4 linked regions of the Caenorhabditis elegans genome follow. The protein of the gene in region 4 binds, or shares a complex with, the protein of the main gene of each other region. Each region holds a gene or a part of one and is shown on either strand. Other genes may lie near its edges. The genes, in order: pafo-1, leo-1, rtfo-1 and cdc-73.

Region 1 (4,121 bases), on a different chromosome or scaffold from region 4:
CGGGCTGGAATTTTGAAATGAATTTCTTTTGGAATACAGTGCTTTTTTTACAACTTCTACGACTTTAAAGGCGCGCGCATTTTCGCGCAATGGTCTCGCCACGCGCATCCCTTTGATTTGTTGAGCGCGTGGCGAGACCAATGACGGGACCATTTTGTATAAATACGCGCGCCTTTAAAGTCGTAGAAGTGGAAAAAAAATGCACTGTAGTTTCGAAAATCTATTGCTACAGTAGTCATTTAAAGAATTACTGTAGTTTTCGCTACGGGATATATTCAATGTTTCGCAATACGCATTCCAATCAGAACGGTAGTTCGAATTTCCCCCAAAACTAAACGTCTTGCCCTCTGATCCTGTTGCTTCCGCATGACAAATCAAAGAATAGAACGTGGAGCACATAAGCGCAAGCAACAGACACCTACACAAACAGAACTTTGCGGGTGTTGGTGTTTCCGCTGTTGGTTTTTTCTTCAATTGTGAGTCAAATCATACTTGCACTTTTAGCGAAGATTCATGAAGATCAATCGAACAAATAGTTGAAATCGTTATCAAGTTTACTGAGAAAAACCAATTTGATTAGGTAAAATAAATAGAAAAACAATTTTAAAAATTTGAGATCAATCACTGTCGCTGTCAACAGTCGGTTCCTTTTTCCGTGGTGAATCGTCATCTGATGAAACGTCCGAAGAGCTATCAGATCGTGATTTCTGCGGCTTGTCGTCATCAGAATCACTGCTCTGATCTGAACTGTCTCCTGAAAAATTGCATGTTCGCGTGGAAAATAACACTTCAAAACTTAAATTTACTCACCACCTTCTTCTTTCTTCTCTTGAATCTTTTCCAGAATCTCTTGTTTTCTGGTCTTTGGCTGTTCGTATAACTCAGCCTCTCTTTTATTCATGTCTTTTTGTTCCAGTTCGGAAGGATTTCGGTATGTGAGTGTCAATTTGGATTTTCTGCTCAATGCCATTTTTGGTTTTCTTGTCATCTTGACATTACAGTCAACTTCGTTGTACTGGAAAACGTTATTACGATGATACATAATGAAGACGTCACGATCCCTTGGTGGCAAGTGTTCCATTTTAAATGTGTATTCACGGCTTAGCAAGAATTCGTACTTCATATCCTCATCAAATGGTCGTTCTAACTCAAGATCATCCATAAAACTCGTAAGACATCCAATCGTTGGAACAAAAACTGCTGCAAATTTTTGATCTTCGAATTCCATGGCTTTAATAACACTGCTCTCCCGTGCTTGTTGTCGTTCATCTTCTTCTTCGAATTCTGTTGTTATAGTGTCTCCATCAAATTGTACATGAGCAAAGAGGTGTTTCCAGTGATCGAAATCAGGGAAGACAAAGCTTTCTTCAACAGCTTTTACACCCTTCTTGGAGTAATGCTCCTTGACGGGTTTACGAACCTAAAATACGCAAAAGTAGATTTAAATCAAAAAAATATATTCTGGTACTTACATCTTCAAATGTCTTGTTAATGGCATCAATTTGACTCTGCTTGTCACGATACATATCTTCAACTTGTTGATTTTTCTTCAAGTTATAACCAAGCTTCGTCTCCTGTCTATCGGCTGTCACACCGAACCGATTGAATTCAGTTGAAATGTACTCGGTTTTTCTCATCCATGGAACAAGTTTAGAATGCTGTTGAGATCGTTTTGCAATCAATTTAGCGGCGCCATCATCTTCCAGTAAAATATTGTCTTTCTCATCAATTTCCTAAAAGTGAAACATTTCTATCTTTGAAACTGTATATTTCAGGAAAAAACCTACAGTTTCGATTGGATCTTCGTCGTATTTTTTTAGATCAATCAAATCGACATTCAAACCCATGTCGTCGTCACAAATGACTGCATGCTTGTAATCTCGATAAATGGCAGCAGGTTGGAATTCGACAAATCTAAATTCAGAGATATTGAACAATGTCAAACGTTTCAAAATTGGTGTACCTTCCCAGAGGAACAAATGGACAAGTCATAAACTTTGCATCAAATGGGACATCAGGAACAGTATTGGTAAATCGAGGTTTCAGCATGAAATCCACTTTTCGTCTGCAAAATGTTTTCAAAACTTTTCTAGCGATTCAAAACAATAATACTTACGGAGGTTCAATCCTTTTGGCATCTGAGGATTCTTGGGGCATTTTTTATAGTAATTTAGTTATAATATTAAGATACCAATCGGCAGAAACGGCTGCAAATCGAAAAAACTAGTCACCGAGGGAATTAAATTCAAACTCTCACACACGGGTTTTGCGCAAGCGCTCAATGCGCGTCAGCAGGGAACAATGGCGCATAACCAGTTTTGCGCGGGTGTTCAAAAAGTATTTTTTGTTTTGTGAATTTCCAGCGTTCTCGTCACGATAATATTTATTTTATGACAAAATGCCATCATTAACATGATAATATTGTAAAAGGGACAATAATGTAAATATAAAGGTGACAATGAATGGTCCAGCAATGTAGAGAGCCAATGCTCCTTTCTGGAAAATTATATAAATGTGGGGTTGTGAACTTTTAAAGCCTACATTATCATGATCATCGTGCATTCCGATACTTTCACGCTGAACAAAGCTAACAGTATTCTCCATTTCAGCATTTAGCTCTTCACTACTTCCAAAGAAAACATCCCACAGCCAAGATCCGAACATTTTTTCCGAATTCCTTTCACAGCAGAGTGTACCATAATAAACTCGATGCTGGTATGTATGAACACATCGTCCCACTTTTTTCTTGTCACATAACTTCATGAATGTTTCCTCGGTTAGATTGAATGGCTTGAGAATTTCCTTCGAAGCACAACCAGAGGCAAATAGAAATGCGTGTTGCTCATTTCGAACGATTTCAGTGAGCATAATTTGTTGAAAGCATGTCTTGAAACCGGAAGTGCAGTTTTTGTACATGAAAGTTCGAAGTTCTTTGTGTCGAGTTCGGGATAAAATTGGGCAGGATACCTTGAATGAAATAATATTTTTACAATTTTCTAGAAAGATCTTATTTTGAAATTGCTCATAACCTACAAAAACATAACAATAGCAAAACAAATTGCGCCTAGTTTTTTGTCTATCTTTTTTTGTCTATCGTTTCTCTTTCATTAAAAATATTTGAAAGAAAATTTCCCAGGGACAACTGGAAAAGCTCAGGAATAGAACCAAGGAAAGTCCTTTATAACATCTCCTGTGTAAACCTACATTCACATTTTCCCCGTTCGCAACCAACACTTGATTGAAGAGCAAAACTGTATTAACCAAAATCGAAATTATCATAGTTTTCTTCATTGTCTAATTCTTTGATCTCTTCTCAGAAATTCCGAAATAAACTAAAAACTGCAATAAACCAAACTAATTATTGTGGCAGTTCATCACGCTGTTTATTTTGCAGAACAGAAGAGAAATACTATTGATAAGAAATAATAATCATCATTCATTGATTTTCGATTTCTGTTAATTCAATTCTATGCTTAAATTCTAGTGAAAATGTCTCCAAAATCAGTTGTGGTAACCGGATCCAATCGAGGATTGGGATTTGGATTAGTTCAACAATTTCTGAAAGATCCAAATGTTCAGCATGTCATTGCGACTGCAAGAGATGTTGATAAGGCAACTGTAAGTTTTTTCGAGTTTATTTATACTTTATCCGTTGCTGAGATTATAGTTATTTGTATTAGGTTTGTGTTCCTAATATTTGTATATGGTAAAAATTTCCCAACAACATGTATTGGACTACGGCATTCTTAATTTCCAATTTTTCAGGCTCTCAAGGGAATTTGTGATCCACGACTTCACATTCTTCAACTCTCACTCGGATCCGATGAATCAATTGCAAATTTTGCTGAAAAAGTGTCTGAAATTGTTGGAGAATCTGGATTAACTCTTCTTATAAATAATGCAGCTGTGATGCTTCCATATGTAACAAAACAAAAACCTGATCGAAAAGTTGTTCTGGATTTGTTTGAGTCAAATACAATTGGTCCAATGATGCTTACACAAAGCCTTGTACCACTCATAATCAAAGCTTCGAAACGACAGGAAGGCGATACACTTTCCGTTTCTCGTGGTGCAATCATTAATATTGCATCCGAATTTCTTGGTTCAATTTCTGAAAATAC
Region 2 (3,801 bases), 7.3 Mb from region 4:
TTTTCAATTTCAATTTTTTTAAATTTTAAATCTTTCGGACATAGTGGTTCCGTGTATATTATAATATGATTGATTCAAAGATTTGTTGTTAGATGTAAAAATTTATTAGTCAGTTTCTTTATCAAACGTGAAAAATCATTTCCTACATTTTCCACAAAGATGTTTAAAATACTCTGGAATCAAAAGTCAAAACCTATAGTTTTTCGAATTTTAATTTATGGAATCTTCTTTCAAATCATTATATTGATGTTTTTACTGCGATCGAGAAGCTCTGGAAATCAAGAAGAAGCTCAGTTGATATTAAATGTATCGATTTCCCCAAGAGCAATGGAAAACGATAAAACACGGAGGTTTGATTTTGAGAATTCTGAAATCGTAGATTATTTCAAGTTTCAGAATTTATGATACGACACTTGATGCCAATTCTTTGAGAAGCGAGGAAGACGTAGTGGATGTATGATTTTAAATATTACATACAATCTGATTGAAATTAAGAAATAAAAGCTCGGTTTTTCATAATATTGTGGATGTTTCATTATCTCGAAATATCGAAGACTAAAATAAATAAGGAAAGGAAAACATTTTCGAAATATTGTAAAGGGAGAAATATTGAATTCGCGAAATATAAAATTGTGAGGATCAAAATTGAAATAAATTTAGTCAGATTCTTCGTCACTGGTGACAATCTGTTTCTTTTGTTGTTGTTTTCTCTTTCGGTACTCTTCATCAGAATCGCTATCCGATCCGCTTTTCTTTGTGGTATCCGCATGATCGTCCTCACTTTCTGAGCTGGCACCTGAAATATATTATTGTAGTACAGTTTCTTTATTCTGGTAAAGTCCTAATCAAAATTAAATTGAACTTACCAATAATTGGTGCTTCCTTCTTCTTTCCTTTTCTGGATGACGTTGGCATATCTTCATCATCAGAATATTGTCCTGCATATCTCGGACCACGAACTTTAAAGTTATTCCGAACCATCTGAGTACGTCGGATGTGTGCACGAAGTGATTCTTCCTCCTTCCGGGCATTCTCACGCCGTGTAATTTCCGGATTCTGACCAACATCGTCCATGACTTTAACTTGAGCATTCTTCCTGCTTCGATCTGCCATATTGAGTGTGACTTTTCTGTGAGTTTGGGAATCAGTCGAGTGAGGACGGAAGGTCATACGATGTGTAAGAACAGCTTGAGCCGACTAAAAATGACATAAATTTTGATTAAAATAAAAACATTAACAATCAAAATACCATTAATGTTGGCTGCTTAACGTAAAGATGGGGAAGATTATTGGAATTCAGCGGCACCAATGAGACTTCGAAAATTTCGTTTCCGAGGTATAGAGACATTCTGAAATTAAGTCACGATATGGAAATTTTGCATCAATTGAAAACTAACGTTCCATCGTCCCATTTTACAATTTTTGCATTACTCTCTCGAATTTCTTTTCCATTTTCATCTTTGCGAACTCGCCAGCGAAGTGTATTTTCCACCTTAAAAATTGTATATTTGATGAGATGTATTTATAACACAGACATACTCTCAATTTGAGACGTGTTCGTCCTTCATCATCCAATTTCGCCTGCTCATCATCTTCGTCTTCCTCGTAATGTTGTGGATCAAATGGATGAGTGGCGACTGATAGAAAGTTTGGCATTCTGACAAAATGTGGTGGATCTGCAGCGTACTCCAAAGTAACACGACCTGTTACCATCTGGAAAATCAATGTTTTAATCACATTATTTCATTGAAAATGTTTACTTCAGTATCATGAACATGCTCCTTTGCTTTTTCATCTTCATCTATTTCATCTGGATTAGCCATCACAATTCCTTGCAAATCATTCAAACTTCCACGACTCTCCGCATCGGAATCTGACAATCGTGCTCTTGTATTTGATTCTTTCGGCTTTCCTTCTCTGTCGGAATCATCGTCGGAAGAGCCAGAGAGATCACCGAACAAACCACCACCAGCACCGGGGGAACTCTTTTCACCTCCTCCTCTCGGATGAATGTTATCGTCAGAAGAATCGGACAATTGTCGAGGAGCAGGACGAGAATCATCATCATCGTCGGACTCATTTAATATCGCTCTTTTCTTAGACGGTTCTTGTTTTTTTGGTGAATCTGGCGACGATCCACGAGAAGATGGAGTTGATCTGAATTGAATTATATTATTTTAGAAACACAATTACCATTTACTTACGATTTAACTGGTGTTCCTGGTGCAGAAGCGTCAGAATTACCCTCAGAAGATGACATCTGAATTGAAAATATTGCATACCTAAGTTCTTTGAATAGCGAAAGTAGCAAAACAAAGTAATAATTTGGGGTCGAATATACCGATAAAAATTGAATAATAAAAGTAGTTGTTGAAAATTCAGATTTTCTTATCCATAGGCAATAAGTTGAAAATGAATATTGGGGGATCTCTATTACAAATTATTAGCAAACAAAAAGAAAACAAGGATTATGAACAGTTATGAAACTAAATCTTGCAATTCGTAGTGAAGAACAAATATAATTATAGCGAGAACATCAAAAATAGCATCTACCGGAATTTTAATTGGAAAGGAGACACTGGGGAACGTAATAGAAATTAAATAACTAAATGAATCTTGATATGAACAATGAAAGTTTCTGGTGAAAAACGGCCCTAATTTTTCATAAACATTTTACGGAATTGATCATTTGAAAGTGGCTGAGACGTTGAAGTGCCTTCGGAAACATCCATTGCGTCCAGCCGAGCAGTGATTTGAGGAGTTTTGTTTGCTGAAAATGGATTTTTTTATGCTAAGCTGGGAACTAAAGATGATATACTTACTAATAGCTCTGGGAACCAATTGCAGTTTTGCAGCATGTCCTTTTCTAGGTCCATCTTCTTCCAAACTTGCTCCAATTGCTGCTGGTTTTCCATGCGATTTATCCTTTTTTACTGGTGGATTGGATAACGCTACCTCTAGTTCTCTTTCTCGAAGCATCAATTTATCACCAGAAGCAACACATTTTTGAGCACTTGCTTCTGTGTCAAAATCTACGAATGCGATTCCTTTTGGTTTTCCATCTTTATGAGTCACGCGTCGAACACTGGTTACTGTACCGAATTTCGAGAATAATGCCTGAAATGTATCGATTTAGAATATAAAATGATAGATAAGTATATATTACCTTTAACTCATCGTCGGTTGCCTGGAAGTGGACATTGCGAACGAAGACTTTCGATTTTTCAAGAGTGGTTGAGAATTTGAATCCAACCCGTTTTTCTGGATCGTTGGCGGAGATCTGAATTTTCAGAAATTAAAATTTCACAAATATTTATAAAGTAAAATTAAAACTTACAAACATTGGCCTTCCCTTCACAGGAACTCGATCTTTCAAGAGAGCTTGCTGTGCCTTCTGATCATTCTCCATTACAACATAGGCGAACCCTCTGTGCACAAGATCCGAATTCGCTTTTCTTGCGAATCGAATTGAAGCAACACCTTCAATGGCTTGTCGAATTTCGTCTTCCGTCGTAGTGAAATCGAGATTAGAAACAAAAATTGTGCGAGCATCTTCCGTTCCTGGAGCTGCTTTCTGAACTGCAAAGGAACCTGGAGCTGGTGTCGACGAAGCATTTGAAGAGGATACAGCTGATGAACTTTTCGCATTGGATGGTGGAAGTGGAGCTTTGAATCCTAAAATTTAATTCAAATTAACTTCTTTACTTTTAAAAATTATTTACCTCCGTCGTCTCCTTTCACTTTTTTTACAATTGGTTCACCTCCCGACGTTCTCTTCTGAATATGATCTTGCTTTGATTT
Region 3 (4,677 bases), on a different chromosome or scaffold from region 4:
GAACTGTCGGAAAAGCAAAATGGATTGTGTTCGAGAAAATATGAACATTTGGAAAGTTTTGAGTTCTGAAGCTTTAAAAGAATAATAAGATAAAATACGTTCACAAAGTCTTTTGAAATTTTATACGGGCAACTCGGACTGAAAAAGTTAGACAATCAATGTGAAATCGGGTTTTTTACAGAAAGTCTCTATATTTAGCGTTAAATTAAAATTGAATGTTACTAATGTGAACATTTGTTGAATTGGACATCAAGATTTTGTTTCGCAATTATTTACCGTAATCTTGAAGGCGCATATACAAATATATAGAGGGCCGTAAATTGATACGAGCTACAGTAACTCGTTGTCCGAGTGGCGAGACCCCTGCGAGTAAAGTATAACCAACATTAAAATATCTAAACGTCTGCGTTATACGGAATTTTTTATGTATTAAACACAAATGAGTCTCTCTTAAAAACTCGTAGAAAGAAAACATGCAGTATTTCAATAATCAGATAACTTACCAAAATTAAACTCTGCCTCAGCTGCTCCTCCATTGTGTCGATGGGATTCGAACCGCAAATTCTTCATTTTCTTCGAAAACTTCGCTTACTACTTCTACTAATTGTCGAATGGCAACAGGAAACACGAAAAGAAAGATTATCCTTTATTTCTGATTCTCTGTATCTCCAGGTCTACCTAAACACTTTAATAGAACAACTGTTCACTAAAGAGCATTTGATCTTTCTTTTTTCGTTTTTTCTTCTCTTACATCGTTTAACCTGGAAAAGGGGTTGTATTTCCGTAAGCCATCTACCCTTGTCTCTTCTTATGTTTTTTTCTTGATTAATGGTTTTTGAGAATACTGTGAGAGCATAAGAGATTTGAAAAACCTATAAGAACACTTCGGATTCCCACAGGATGGGCACTAAAGAATTAGTTTTTCTAAACTTCAGAAAATGGGAGTGTCTCTCAATTTCCTTATCGATTATAAAAGTGTTTGGTATTTATATATAAATCCATTAAATATACATAGCTTGCACCATGACCTACAGCAACAGAAGCCAATATCCCAATTGTGTGCGACAACCTTGCAAAATAGCGTGCGCGGCTTGCAAAGTGGGCGGGACTAAATGTATTGACACTGTGCAGTTTGAATGTAAAAATTTATTCTTAATTTTCGGTATTTTCTTTGGTTTTTCGTTATTATAATTGATTTTTAATGATTCTTTATTATTATCTTAATTCAAAGAGTAGAAAAACTTTATTGCACCCGTCCTTTTTGTTTCTCGAATCCAATATTGACACATTTTTTGAGAAACTTAAGTTTTTTCTTAATTTTTCGAATATTTTCGACAAAAACGCGCATATATCATTAAAAATATGACACTTTTCCTTGTTTCTTTTATTTGTTTAAATATTTGTATGAAACCTATTGTTCGTAGCCATCTTGCAACTGTGTGTCGATATCGATTTTCCCAGAACAAATGTCAGACGCTCTACATCACTTTTATACAACCGTTTCTTCTCACCGTTCTCTAATAATTTATTCAATTCATAATTATGTTCTCAGGGTCAGTTTAATCAACAATGTCTTCCTCTGAGAGTGCTTCATCAGACGAAGAGACAAAACGCCGTGCTCCAGCCACTTCAGATTCCGATTCTGACTCAGACGCAGGTCCAAAACCTGGAAAACCTCTCAGTACCGACTCCTCGGCATCCGATTCAGATGCCGAAAAACCACAGTGAGTTTTACTGTTTTCTATCCAAAAAAAAGTTATACGAGTTTCCATTTTCAGGGCAAAGCCTGCAAAAAAGAAGACTTTAACAAAGCGAAAGCGGCGAGCTACTGGAAGTAGTGACGATGACCAAGTAGATGATGATTTATTTGCTGACAAAGAAGACAAAGCAAGATGGAAGAAATTGACAGAATTGGAAAAGGAGCAAGAAATTTTTGAAAGGATGGAGGCTCGTGAAAACGCGATTGCTCGAGAAGAAATTGCTCAACAACTTGCTAAAAAAGCAAAGAAAAGTTCTGAAAAGGGAGTCAAAACCGAAAAACGAAGGAAAATGAACAGTGGTGGAAGTGATGCAGGTTCCCCGAAACGCAAAGCTTCATCGGATTCCGATTCTGAGATGGATGCTGCTTTCCACCGACCCAGTGATGTAAGTTTATTTTTTTATTTTTCAAATAAAAATTTTTATTCCAGATTAACCGCAAACATAAAGAGAAGAATGCTATGGATGCTCTGAAGAACAAACGTAAAGAGATCGAAAAGAAAAATGCAAAAAACGAAGCACTCTCTATCGATGCTGTTTTTGGAGCTAATTCGGGATCTTCAAGTTCGTCTAGTTCAAGCGAAAGCTCTCGTTCATCATCTTCTTCCCGCGAATCATCACCAGAACGTGTATCCGAAAAAGATAAGATAGTAAAGAAAGATGTTGATGGACTTTCGGAACTTCGAAGAGCTCGATTGTCCCGTCATAAACTTTCATTGATGATTCATGCCCCATTCTTTGATTCTACTGTCGTAGGATGCTATGTTCGACTTGGACAAGGGCAAATGAGTGGCTCAGGAAGCAAATATCGGATATGGAAGATTGTCGGTGTGGAGGAATCCAACAAAGTCTACGAATTGGAAGGAAAAAAGACAAATAAAATCATAAAATGTCAGAATGGTGAGTTGTTTATTTACTTGTGAAAATTTGAAATCTGTTACAACCTTAACTGCAGGTGGATCAGAACGACCATTCCGTATGCAATTCGTTTCAAATGCTGATTTCGAACAAATTGAGTTTGATGAATGGCTTCTGGCATGTAAGAGACACGGAAATCTTCCAACCGTCGATATTATGGATAAGAAAAAACAAGATATCGAAAAAGCAATCAACCACAAGTATTCGGACAAAGAAGTCGATCTGATGATCAAGGAAAAGAGCAAATATCAAACAGTTCCACGAAATTTCGCTATGACAAAAGCTAATTGGTCCAAGCAAAAAGAGCTGGCTCAACAACGAGGTGACATTCGAGAAGCCGAACAAATTCAAACTAAAATCGATGAGATTGAACGACAAGCTGATGAATTGGAGAAAGAGCGAAGCAAGTCAATTAGTGCGATTGCGTTCATTAACCATAGGAATCGATCAAAAATAAAGGACCAAGTCCTGAGTGGGCAATTGAAGATCGAAGAGAATTCACAGGATGATCCTTTTACACGTAAGAAGGGAGGTATGCGTGTTGTTTCTGGATCTAAATCAAGACTTGACGGAACTCTTTCCGCATCTTCATCAACCACAAATTGTAAGTTAATAGGAAATATCAATTTTTTGACATAACTTTATAATTTTCAGTATCTGACGGCGGAAAAGACAAAAGTTCATCATTGGCTAAACCGACGCAACCTCCTCCATCTACTCAAATAAAGAAAAAAACTGATATATCCAGTCTGCATGACTTTGATCTAGACATCGATTTGGGTAAATTGAAGGATTTTAGTACGCCGGAATCGTCAGGAAACAAACGTCCATCAATTAGTTCTTCCAAGTTAGCACATCTTATAGTGGACTATTTTAATTGCTATATTTTCAGAGGAGTGTCACTTAGTGATTATCGAATGCGTCGATCAGGAGGTGGTGACGCTGGATCCTCCACATCAGCTGCACCATCCTCAGCAGTTTGAACTGTCTTTTTCTACATCTCTTTGATTTTCTCAGCGTTACCCCCCTCATCCCTCATCGTTACGTTTTACTTATTTTCTTTCGTTTTATAAACTGATCAAAACTTGTTCAATTCCTTCATTATACTATTCCGTTCATTTTTTCCAATTTTTGAGAACACATTTTTTTAGCTTTTAATTTCGTCAGAATAAAATAAATCGTAATAAAGATAGCAATTGCAGAATGCAAGAAATGGAACATTTTATGAATCCTTCACCGTTTGTTTTAGATCTTTCCCACTCACTGATACTCCTCACCAATCCCAAACCTTTAATTTTAAATTTTCTATGTGATTCTATTGATTTTCACCCTCATTCATCTTTTCATGTTTTATTCCTTTTTTGATTCCTTGTGACTACTGTATTCCTAGGTTAACGGATGTAAACCAAAAATCTGTGTGAATTTTTTGAAACTTTTCTAATAATTTTTCGTGCAATTAATGAATAAACTCAAAGTTCTTTTCACGTTTTTATTCCATCTTTCAGGATTAGAAACCCGGTATACAGAAATGGTTTGGAATGTGAACGAAGAATTGTAATTTAACATCTTAAGCGCTACAGCTCTTTACTCGGCTTGGCTCGAAGAAATGAGCTTTTGCTCAGTGAGCATTGACAGGCAACAGGGAGCTGGAAAGGAAGGGATTAGATTATTTCGAGATTAATACAATAAGAGAAATAAGACAAACCTGGATTTGTTCAACAATCCAATCCTCACAATTATCATCCCCTGTGTTTCGTAGAACTTTGAATGAGAGGGTCTGAATGCCACATTGACCATGAGCTGGAAATATATTTCAATCACAAATTACATGTAATCAACGGACCCCTCAGTTGAAAAACGTAGAACGCTCTCATTACGTAAACGTCCAAATTGATCATTTTCGCCATACAATACGTACATGGGTCTCGCCACGCAGACATTGACATACAGTAGCTCGTGTCGATTTACGGGGCCTACATTGTCTCATGTTTTAAATATTAG
Region 4 (7,520 bases):
CTAATTTTCACCTAATTTTTTGGTATATTTCTAATACTTGTGCTATACCTCTAATTTTTTTCTCACTTTCTGCTTTCTGAATCGCACTACTCCCCGAACTCTTTTGAAGAATTTTGACAAATGAATTTAACTTGGGAATTCAAAGTGTCTAGTTTTGAGCCAGTAATCATGAAAAAAAAAAAAGCCGCGAAGCGACCGCTCCGCGTGGCCAATGGAGCAATATTTCGAAAATCCTAGAAGGCAATTTTGGCCAAAAAACGAAACAATGTTTAACTGGAAAATTTGAATTTTTCTCCAAAATATTACCTTGAAAATTCACGAATTAAAAAATTTGTTGCCGCGACGCGACCGCGCCGCCTGGCTGACGAAAACTGACGAAAATTGGGCAATTTTCCGCTTGAAAATCGAATTTTCTCCACTCCAAAAATGACGATTTCGCCACGTGGAAAATGATTTTTTCGCTAAAAATTTGAATTTTCGATTAAAAATTGTTTGAAGAAAAATGGCATTTTTAATAAAATCAAAAGTGATGAATAAATAAATTTGCAAAAAATGAAGAAAAAAAGAAAATTTCCGAGAATTTTCAGAGTCCAAGACGGGCGGTGAGATGTGGCTTGTTCTTGCGTACAAAATTCTCGATTGTCTCCCAAACTTGACTGAATCGAGCCTTATCCATGTGCCGTTTCGTCGCCGAGACTGGAATCTTGTGTACATTCCACTGCATCACTTGAGCCACCGGCTTATCCTGGTCGACGTGGAAATGGAATGCAGGAATGTGGGTGAAGATGTCCGTCGGATTTCCATTCCATTTCCAGCCTTTGAATTGCCACGCGACACCCATTACGAAGACGGCGATCACACGATCCCAATCATCATTGGCAAGCTTCTCGGCATTGTCGATTACGCGGATATTGTCTGAATCAATTTCAAATTTTAGGTTAAAATGGAGTTTTTGTTTTTTTTTCGAATTTTTAGCTTAAAATCGGTTAAAAATCCCAAAAAATACCATTTTTGCAGCGAATATTGCCTGAAACGTCTAGTTTTTTCGAAATGTTTGGTTAAAATTGAGTATTTTCGAAAGGTTAGGTGAAGATTTCAGTTTTTTTCTCGAAATTTCAGGGTTTTACGCTTTTTGCTCAAATTTCCAAACAAATTTTGAAAAATTGCGTATTTTTCCAATTTTTTAGCTTAAAATTATTTTAAATCACTTTAAAAAGGACTTTTTCGAGAAAAATCGAATTTTCAAGTCTATTTTCAAGTTTTGTGTAATTTGTCGTAAATTTCGGTGTTTTGGGTTACTGTAGTCTGTGGTCGCACAGATATGGGGCTACAGTACCCAAAATCGTCTCATTTTTCAAGTTTTTAAGTCAACATTTTCCATTTTTGCGCAAAAACCGGTGGATTTTACGATTTTCATTATTTTTGGGTTAAAATATTCGAATTTTCGCGTAAACAATCGTAAATTTCAGGCAAAACGCAAGTTTTCGAGAAGGATTTGACCATTTTCAGAATTTTGTCGTAAATTCAGATGTGTTGGGTTACTGTAGTCGGTGATTGCACAGAAATGGGGCTACAGTACTCAAAACCGTCATTTTTCGGGGTTTTTTTCGTCGAAATGTTTAATTTTCAGCATTTTTGGCTCAAGAATTTCAAATTTTTCCAATAAATTCAGATTTTCAAGCACAAATCTTAGTTTTTCTCATTTTTTGGGTCAAAATTTCCAAATTTTCGCGTGAAAAATCGCATTTCCAGCCAAAAAAACGCACAAGTAACACCATTTTTCTGCCGTTGAATAGCCAAATCGACAGGCTTCTTATTCGTCTCTTTTCGTCGCTGATCAACAGGAACATAGCTGAAATTCTGCAGAATATCTCGAACATTGTACAAATTTATCATCGTATTCATTGCCGACGGAACGATGATGATCGGGGAGCGAGACGTCCGTTTTGAGCCATTTTGAGCTGCTGATGAGCCTGATGACGTGGCAGTTGATGACGTCAGAAGCTGGATGGGCTTGGCGAGTGGAGGACGGCCTGGGGGAGCGTCGGGTGCTTCTGGAAAATTGAAAATTTTGTGAAAAATTGGCGTTTTTTACATTTTTTAGTAGAAATTTCAGAAAAAAAACCCAGATTTTAGGTCAAATTTTATGAATTCTGTGCAATTTGTCGTCAAATCCGACGTTTTGGGTTACTGTAGTCGGTGTTTGCACAGAGATAGAGCTACAGTACCCAAAATCGTCATTTTTCATGAAATTCTCCATTTTGAAGCAAAATTTCTGAATTTTTGTGTTAAAAATCACATTTTCCGGCACAAATTGGTTTTTCACAGGTTTTTAGTGAAAATTTCATAAATTTTCCGAATTTTCAGCTTTCCAGATCAACTTTAATGAAAAAAAAAAGCATTTTTTACGAGTTTTTTCAGTCAAAATTGGTGAGAATATTACAAAAACCCGGATTTTAAGTCAATTTATGAAGTTTTCCAATTTTGTTTCGAAATGTGGGAATTTTTCGGTGTTTTTCGAATTTAGGGTCAAATTTTATAAAATTTCTGATTTTTTTGAATTTAAAATTGCAATTTCTCGGATTTTACGAACTTTGTACCGCATGATGTCCCTGCTTGATACTGCTGAAATTACTTCCAATAAAAGAGCCTTCCGTTTGAATTTCCTTGGTTTTTTCCTGAAAAAATTGAATTTTAGTAGATTTTTGGACATAATTTCACTGAAATTCGAATCTTTTCTCAATTTTTCATTTATTTGGATCAAAATTTTCGAATTTTTGCGTGAAAAATCGCATTTTTACGTCAGTTTTTGAGTTTTGTGCAATTTGTCGTGAATTCCAGTGTTTTGGGTTACTGTAGTTGTTGTTTGCACAGAAACGGGGCTACAGTATCCGAATTCGTCATTTTTAGCGGGTTTTTGGTGAAAATGTTGAATTTTTAGGAAAAAATTGCCGGTTTTCACGAATTTCATAATTTTTGGATCAAATTTTCCGAATTTTTGCGTGAAAAATAGCAGAAAGATCGATTTTTCACCAATTTTTCTCAAATTTTCACATAGTTTGGGGAGGGGGCTCCCTTACATGAGCAAAAGCTTCCTGAGCATATCTAGAATAACCGGAACGTTGCTGTTGTCCACCAGCGGCTCCAGACTGATCTTTCGAGAGATTCGTAGCATGAACAGCCGCCACTTTTTCCTTTTTCTCGTTTAAATCCCATTGCCGTTGGGCTGAAGTGATAATATCGAGCACATTTGACAAATCTCGAGCTCCCAACATGACATTTTCACGGGTTTTGTGGATTCGAGTCTTCGGAAGTGAGGCTGACGTCAGTGTGGATAGGGATTCACTGAAAAATTGAAATTTCTTGATCAGAAAATCAGGTTTTTGAGGAAATGTTGTCCTAGAAAATCGGGGTTTTCGGATTTTTTTTGCATAAAAATTCTATATTTTTCAGGCTTTTTTTAAAAGAAAAATTGGCCGATTTTTGGAAACTTTTCGGTGAAAATTTAGAAAATTACGAGATTTTCAAACTAAAAATCGACTTTTCGTAGTTTTTTGAACCAAAAAATGAGAAATTCGGAGTTTTCTAAGAATTTTCGAGTTAAACAAGTTTTTAAGAAAATTTTGACCTAGAAAATCGAGATTTTCCGTTTTTTGCAATGAATTTTCACAATTTTTTCAGAAATTTTAACGAAAATACCCAGAAAAATGTCTATTTTGAGTACTGTAGCCCCATTTCTGTGCAAACACCGACTACAGTAACCCAAAACACCGGAATTCACGACAAATTGCACAAAAATCGGGTTTTTGGAGAAAATTGGCTCTGTTCTATGAAAATGGGATAAATTTAAGATTTTTTGAGTTGAAAATCACTTTTTTCTGGTAGAATTTCGGTTTTTTTAGGTGATTTGCGTAGTTTTTTATATGAAAATCCGAATTTTAGTAGGGAATTTTGAAAAAAAAAAATTGAATTTCATATTTTTTCCCAGTTAAAATTGTTTTAAATCGAAAATTGGCTTTTTACTGTTGTTTTTCGGTTTTCTCGGGTAAAAACTACGTTTTCAACGTAATTTTCCCAATTTTTCAACCGAAAACTGAGAAATTCGCAATTTCGTGAAATTTTCGGGTTTTCAGGCTAAAATCTGCATTTTTGCATCATTTTTCAGCATAAATTTGGCCTTTTTAGCCCATTTTCCTAATTTTTTGCCGTACTCAATGGTGACTATTCCTTTTTCTCGATGACTTTGTCGTTTTCTTCTCATTTCAGCAATTCTATCCTTTGTCAGATTGTCATTTAGTGCACGAATTTCGACTTCTTTCTTTGCAGCGGATACCGCGGATTCCTGGGGCTCATCTGGGAAAAAAATGGAGTTAATTTTGAGAAAAATCGGGATTTTTGAGCAAATTTCTGCTAAAAATCATGATTTTTAGCTTAGAAACGGTTATTTTTAAGGTAGTTACAGGCTTTTTGGCTTAAAATGAGCTATTTTATACTTTTTTAAGCTTAAAATCGGATTTTTATTCAAATGTTCACCTAAAATTGTTTTTGAGCTAAAAACAATAATTTTTAACTTAAAAACAGTTTTTTCTTTCGGTTTTTAGCTCAAAATTGGTGTTTTCTTCAGATTTTCAGCTTAAACTACGTTTTTTCCAGTTTTTTGGCTTAAATTAACTATTTTGTAGTTTTTTAGTCCACAATTGGATTTTTGGGGGTTTAAATGGGGCTTTTAGCGTGAAAGTAGGTTTTTATTAAGCATTTAGCCTAAAATTTGGATTTTAGCGTAGAATTCGTCGGTTTTTAGCTTTAAAAATCGTTATTTTCAGCTAAAACCTTTTAAAAATCGATTTTCAAGTCATATCTTGTCTAAAAATCCTTATTTTTAGCTTAAAAACGATAATTTTTAAGGTTTTTAGCTCGAAATTAGTTTTTTTTTCAGATTTTTGTTTAAAATAACCCGAAGTGCTCGTGTCCATTGGCTCGCCGGCGGCTTCACCGTCTAAACGTGGCTTTTTTGCTTCTGGCTCCGAGGAATGGAGCAATTGGCGAAGCGAAAGCGGATTTACTTGGTTCATCAGCGCCGGAAAGTCTGTGCGGTCACCCTGGAGGTACTCTGTCACATTTTTTCTGAAAAATTACACGTGTTTTCGGCTAAAAATCGATATTTTCTACCTATCAATACGTGTAACGGCTCGAACACCGGCGGCGGCCGCTTCTTTCACATAAACTCCGTGATTTTCGTGTGAGTACTTGAGAAATACGACCAGTGACTCCAAAGAGTAGAATTCATCGCTTTTTCCGTAGATTTGGAGGCTAGTCTCCGTGTCTTTCTTATAAGCGTAGTCGCCGAACGCCACATACGAGATTCCGCTCTGAAAATGAGAAAAATGATTGGAAAATCGACAAAAATCGTTAAAACACTTACCACGGTGACTTCTCGCAGCGGAAACTCTTCTGGCCTCTGCACATGCTTTTGGAGAGCTTCCAATGGGTCCATTCTGCTGAAAAAATGCAGAAAATTAGACGGAAAATCGATGAAAAATGAAGGAAAACGCGGCGAAATAAATTATTTTTCAAATTAAAAAATCTGGAAGAGAACAGTGAGAGAGCGGGATTTCTAGGCCGCGGCCACGAGAAAAGAGCGCGAGTTTGAAATTGAATATCTACAATTTTGAGATATCTGCCTATTTTTAGGCTTAAAAGTAGCAAATTTCGTGGAGATTTTTTCAACTAGTCAAATTGAAGAAAGAAACTTATTGAAGCAATATGTATTAACCATGAAAGTGTAAAAAAGTTACGAAAATGTTGGGAAATGCACAAAAAGGTGAGGAAAATGAAAATTTAGTCGTGTTTGTCACTTTATTTCTTGATTAAAGTTGTGATTAGCAGCAAAATGTTCGATAAACAATTACGGAAAATTTGAATCTTGCTATTTCTGTGGTACTGTAGCTCGAATTCTGTGCAAACACCGATCACAGTAGCCCAAGACCCGAAGAACTCGGGGGATGTCCAACTGGGGGGATTACCAACTCGGGGGATTGGCCCCGCCCACAGAACCGTGGCTTGCAATACGCCCATTTCTGCAACTGCCGCACGGTTTTAAAATTATTTTTTCTTGTTAATTCTCGCTCTATTGAGAAAAATACAGTTTTAAAACCGTGCGGCAGTTGCAGAAATGGGCGTATTGCAAGCCACGGTTCTGTCGAGTTGGTAATCCCCCCAATTGGACATCCACCGAGTTCTTCGGGTCTCTAGCCCAATACACTAGAATCGACCATAAATTGCACAAAAATCGTGAAAATGAACAATATTTCAAAAATTTCAGCACAAATTATATGCTTATCTTTGAAAATTCCACGTTTGCCCTTATTTTCGAGGTTTTTCTGCAACTTGTCGTCAAATTCTACGCCTTGGGTTACTGTAGTCGGTGTTTGCACAGAAATGGAGATACCGTACCCGATGGCAGCGTTTTTCAGCGTTTTATGTGAAAATTCTTGATTTTCATGCAAGTTTCCCAGAAAATAAAAAAAATCAATAAATCAATCATTTATTTTCGGCCGAGAGGTTCAACGAGTTCAAAGTACGTGTCGAATCCGATTTCGGTGAGCCACTTCTCTGCTGATCGCCGGCCGACACCAAATCCCGACAATATGCCATATAGAACAGTATTTGGCGTAAAATCGATATTCCGTAGTGAGCCAGATTGCCGAAAATGGTCGGCGATGGAATTACACGATGCGTCGTGAATTTCACGGCGGCCATCTCTTTTCGAGCCGCTTGCCAGCGTTCATACATCGGTTGTATCTGGAATTATTGATCTTTTCAGAGGGGACGGCGGCGGGGCCGAAACCGCGACGCGACCGCAGCGCATCAATTATTGATTTTTGAACGTGTACCGCAACGCGACCGCGGCGCATGGAAAATCGATATTTCTAGCGAAAACCGCCCAGCAACCGCAACGCGTTAAGCATAGATTTTTTGAACTGAAGCAGTGGCGCGACCGCAACGGATCAAATATCGATTTTCAGACCAAAACCGCGGCACGACCGCACCGCCACCCCAATAACTTACACCGTTGATAATATTATCCAGAACGATTTTGCGATTGGTATTATACGTGGTCAGTTGCTCATCAAGATCATCGATCATTTTCTCGTAACGATCGAACCATTTTCCCGACTCGTCGAGCATCGATTTCAGCTTTTTCTCGTTTTCAGCGGCTAATCTGGAAAAAATCGATAATTTCGCTTAAAACTTGATCATGGATCTCACCGCAACGCCTTCTCCAACTGCTTCCGATCGATCAAGAACTTTTTGATCGTTTCATTTTTCGTCGACTTGTACTCATCGTCCTCGTGATCCTCTTCCACCGAATACCTAAAATAATTATCAATTTTAAGGAGCGTTGCGGTCGCGTCGCGGCTTGGGTTTTTTTCGAATCAAAAATTTGAATTCCCGCCGCCGCACTCACTCATAATCGACAGTTTCCATGCTGTACATGTGTACGCTGGTCTCATCCTCGT

The links.
Region 1: cdc-73 (region 4) and pafo-1 share a complex: the UniProt entries of both Caenorhabditis elegans proteins name them as parts of the PAF1 complex.
Region 2: cdc-73 (region 4) and leo-1 share a complex: the UniProt entries of both Caenorhabditis elegans proteins name them as parts of the PAF1 complex.
Region 3: cdc-73 (region 4) and rtfo-1 share a complex: the UniProt entries of both Caenorhabditis elegans proteins name them as parts of the PAF1 complex.

The regions. Positions count from the first base shown.
Region 1 is NC_003283.11:11,519,802-11,523,922, reverse strand, and holds pafo-1 (RNA polymerase II-associated factor 1 homolog), read right to left. Parts: upstream 2,221-4,121; 5' UTR 2,158-2,220; coding exon 2,117-2,157; intron 2,066-2,116; coding exon 1,964-2,065; intron 1,915-1,963; coding exon 1,788-1,914; intron 1,734-1,787; coding exon 1,473-1,733; intron 1,421-1,472; coding exon 811-1,420; intron 755-810; coding exon 618-754; 3' UTR 539-617; downstream 1-538. Other genes in the region: C55A6.11 (uncharacterized protein), read right to left, coding at 2,389-2,496, 2,542-2,967, 3,205-3,291; C55A6.7 (DeHydrogenases, Short chain), read left to right, coding at 3,490-3,618, 3,766-4,121. UniProt on the Caenorhabditis elegans protein: Component of the PAF1 complex which is a multifunctional complex involved in transcription initiation via genetic interactions with TATA-binding proteins, elongation and transcription-coupled histone modification.
Region 2 is NC_003282.8:11,327,110-11,330,910, forward strand, and holds leo-1 (RNA polymerase-associated protein LEO1), read right to left. Parts: upstream 2,261-3,801; coding exon 2,205-2,260; intron 2,158-2,204; coding exon 1,761-2,157; intron 1,714-1,760; coding exon 1,540-1,713; intron 1,493-1,539; coding exon 1,398-1,492; intron 1,350-1,397; coding exon 1,250-1,349; intron 1,198-1,249; coding exon 867-1,197; intron 797-866; coding exon 657-796; 3' UTR 512-656; downstream 1-511. Other genes in the region: B0035.21 (Kinesin motor domain-containing protein), read left to right, coding at 247-350, 397-460; sart-3 (Spliceosome associated factor 3, U4/U6 recycling protein), read right to left, coding at 2,655-2,770, 2,823-3,117, 3,167-3,280, 3,338-3,675, 3,723-3,801. UniProt on the Caenorhabditis elegans protein: Component of the PAF1 complex which is a multifunctional complex involved in transcription initiation via genetic interactions with TATA-binding proteins, elongation and transcription-coupled histone modification.
Region 3 is NC_003283.11:9,579,520-9,584,196, reverse strand, and holds rtfo-1 (RNA polymerase-associated protein RTF1 homolog), read left to right. Parts: upstream 1-1,552; 5' UTR 1,553-1,569; coding exon 1,570-1,724; intron 1,725-1,778; coding exon 1,779-2,145; intron 2,146-2,189; coding exon 2,190-2,658; intron 2,659-2,713; coding exon 2,714-3,280; intron 3,281-3,330; coding exon 3,331-3,523; intron 3,524-3,568; coding exon 3,569-3,659; 3' UTR 3,660-4,156; downstream 4,157-4,677. Other genes in the region: F25B3.2 (CTCK domain-containing protein), read right to left, coding at 4,251-4,322, 4,382-4,476. UniProt on the Caenorhabditis elegans protein: Component of the PAF1 complex which is a multifunctional complex involved in transcription initiation via genetic interactions with TATA-binding proteins, elongation and transcription-coupled histone modification.
Region 4 is NC_003282.8:4,040,553-4,048,072, reverse strand, and holds cdc-73 (Cell division cycle protein 73), read right to left. Parts: upstream 5,499-7,520; 5' UTR 5,495-5,498; coding exon 5,423-5,494; intron 5,370-5,422; coding exon 5,170-5,369; intron 5,125-5,169; coding exon 4,955-5,124; intron 4,354-4,954; coding exon 4,212-4,353; intron 3,346-4,211; coding exon 3,081-3,345; intron 2,679-3,080; coding exon 2,594-2,678; intron 2,055-2,593; coding exon 1,767-2,054; intron 916-1,766; coding exon 584-915; 3' UTR 501-583; downstream 1-500. Other genes in the region: F35F11.2 (DUF4200 domain-containing protein), read right to left, coding at 6,541-6,801, 7,069-7,222, 7,270-7,374, 7,469-7,520. UniProt on the Caenorhabditis elegans protein: Component of the PAF1 complex which is a multifunctional complex involved in transcription initiation via genetic interactions with TATA-binding proteins, elongation and transcription-coupled histone modification.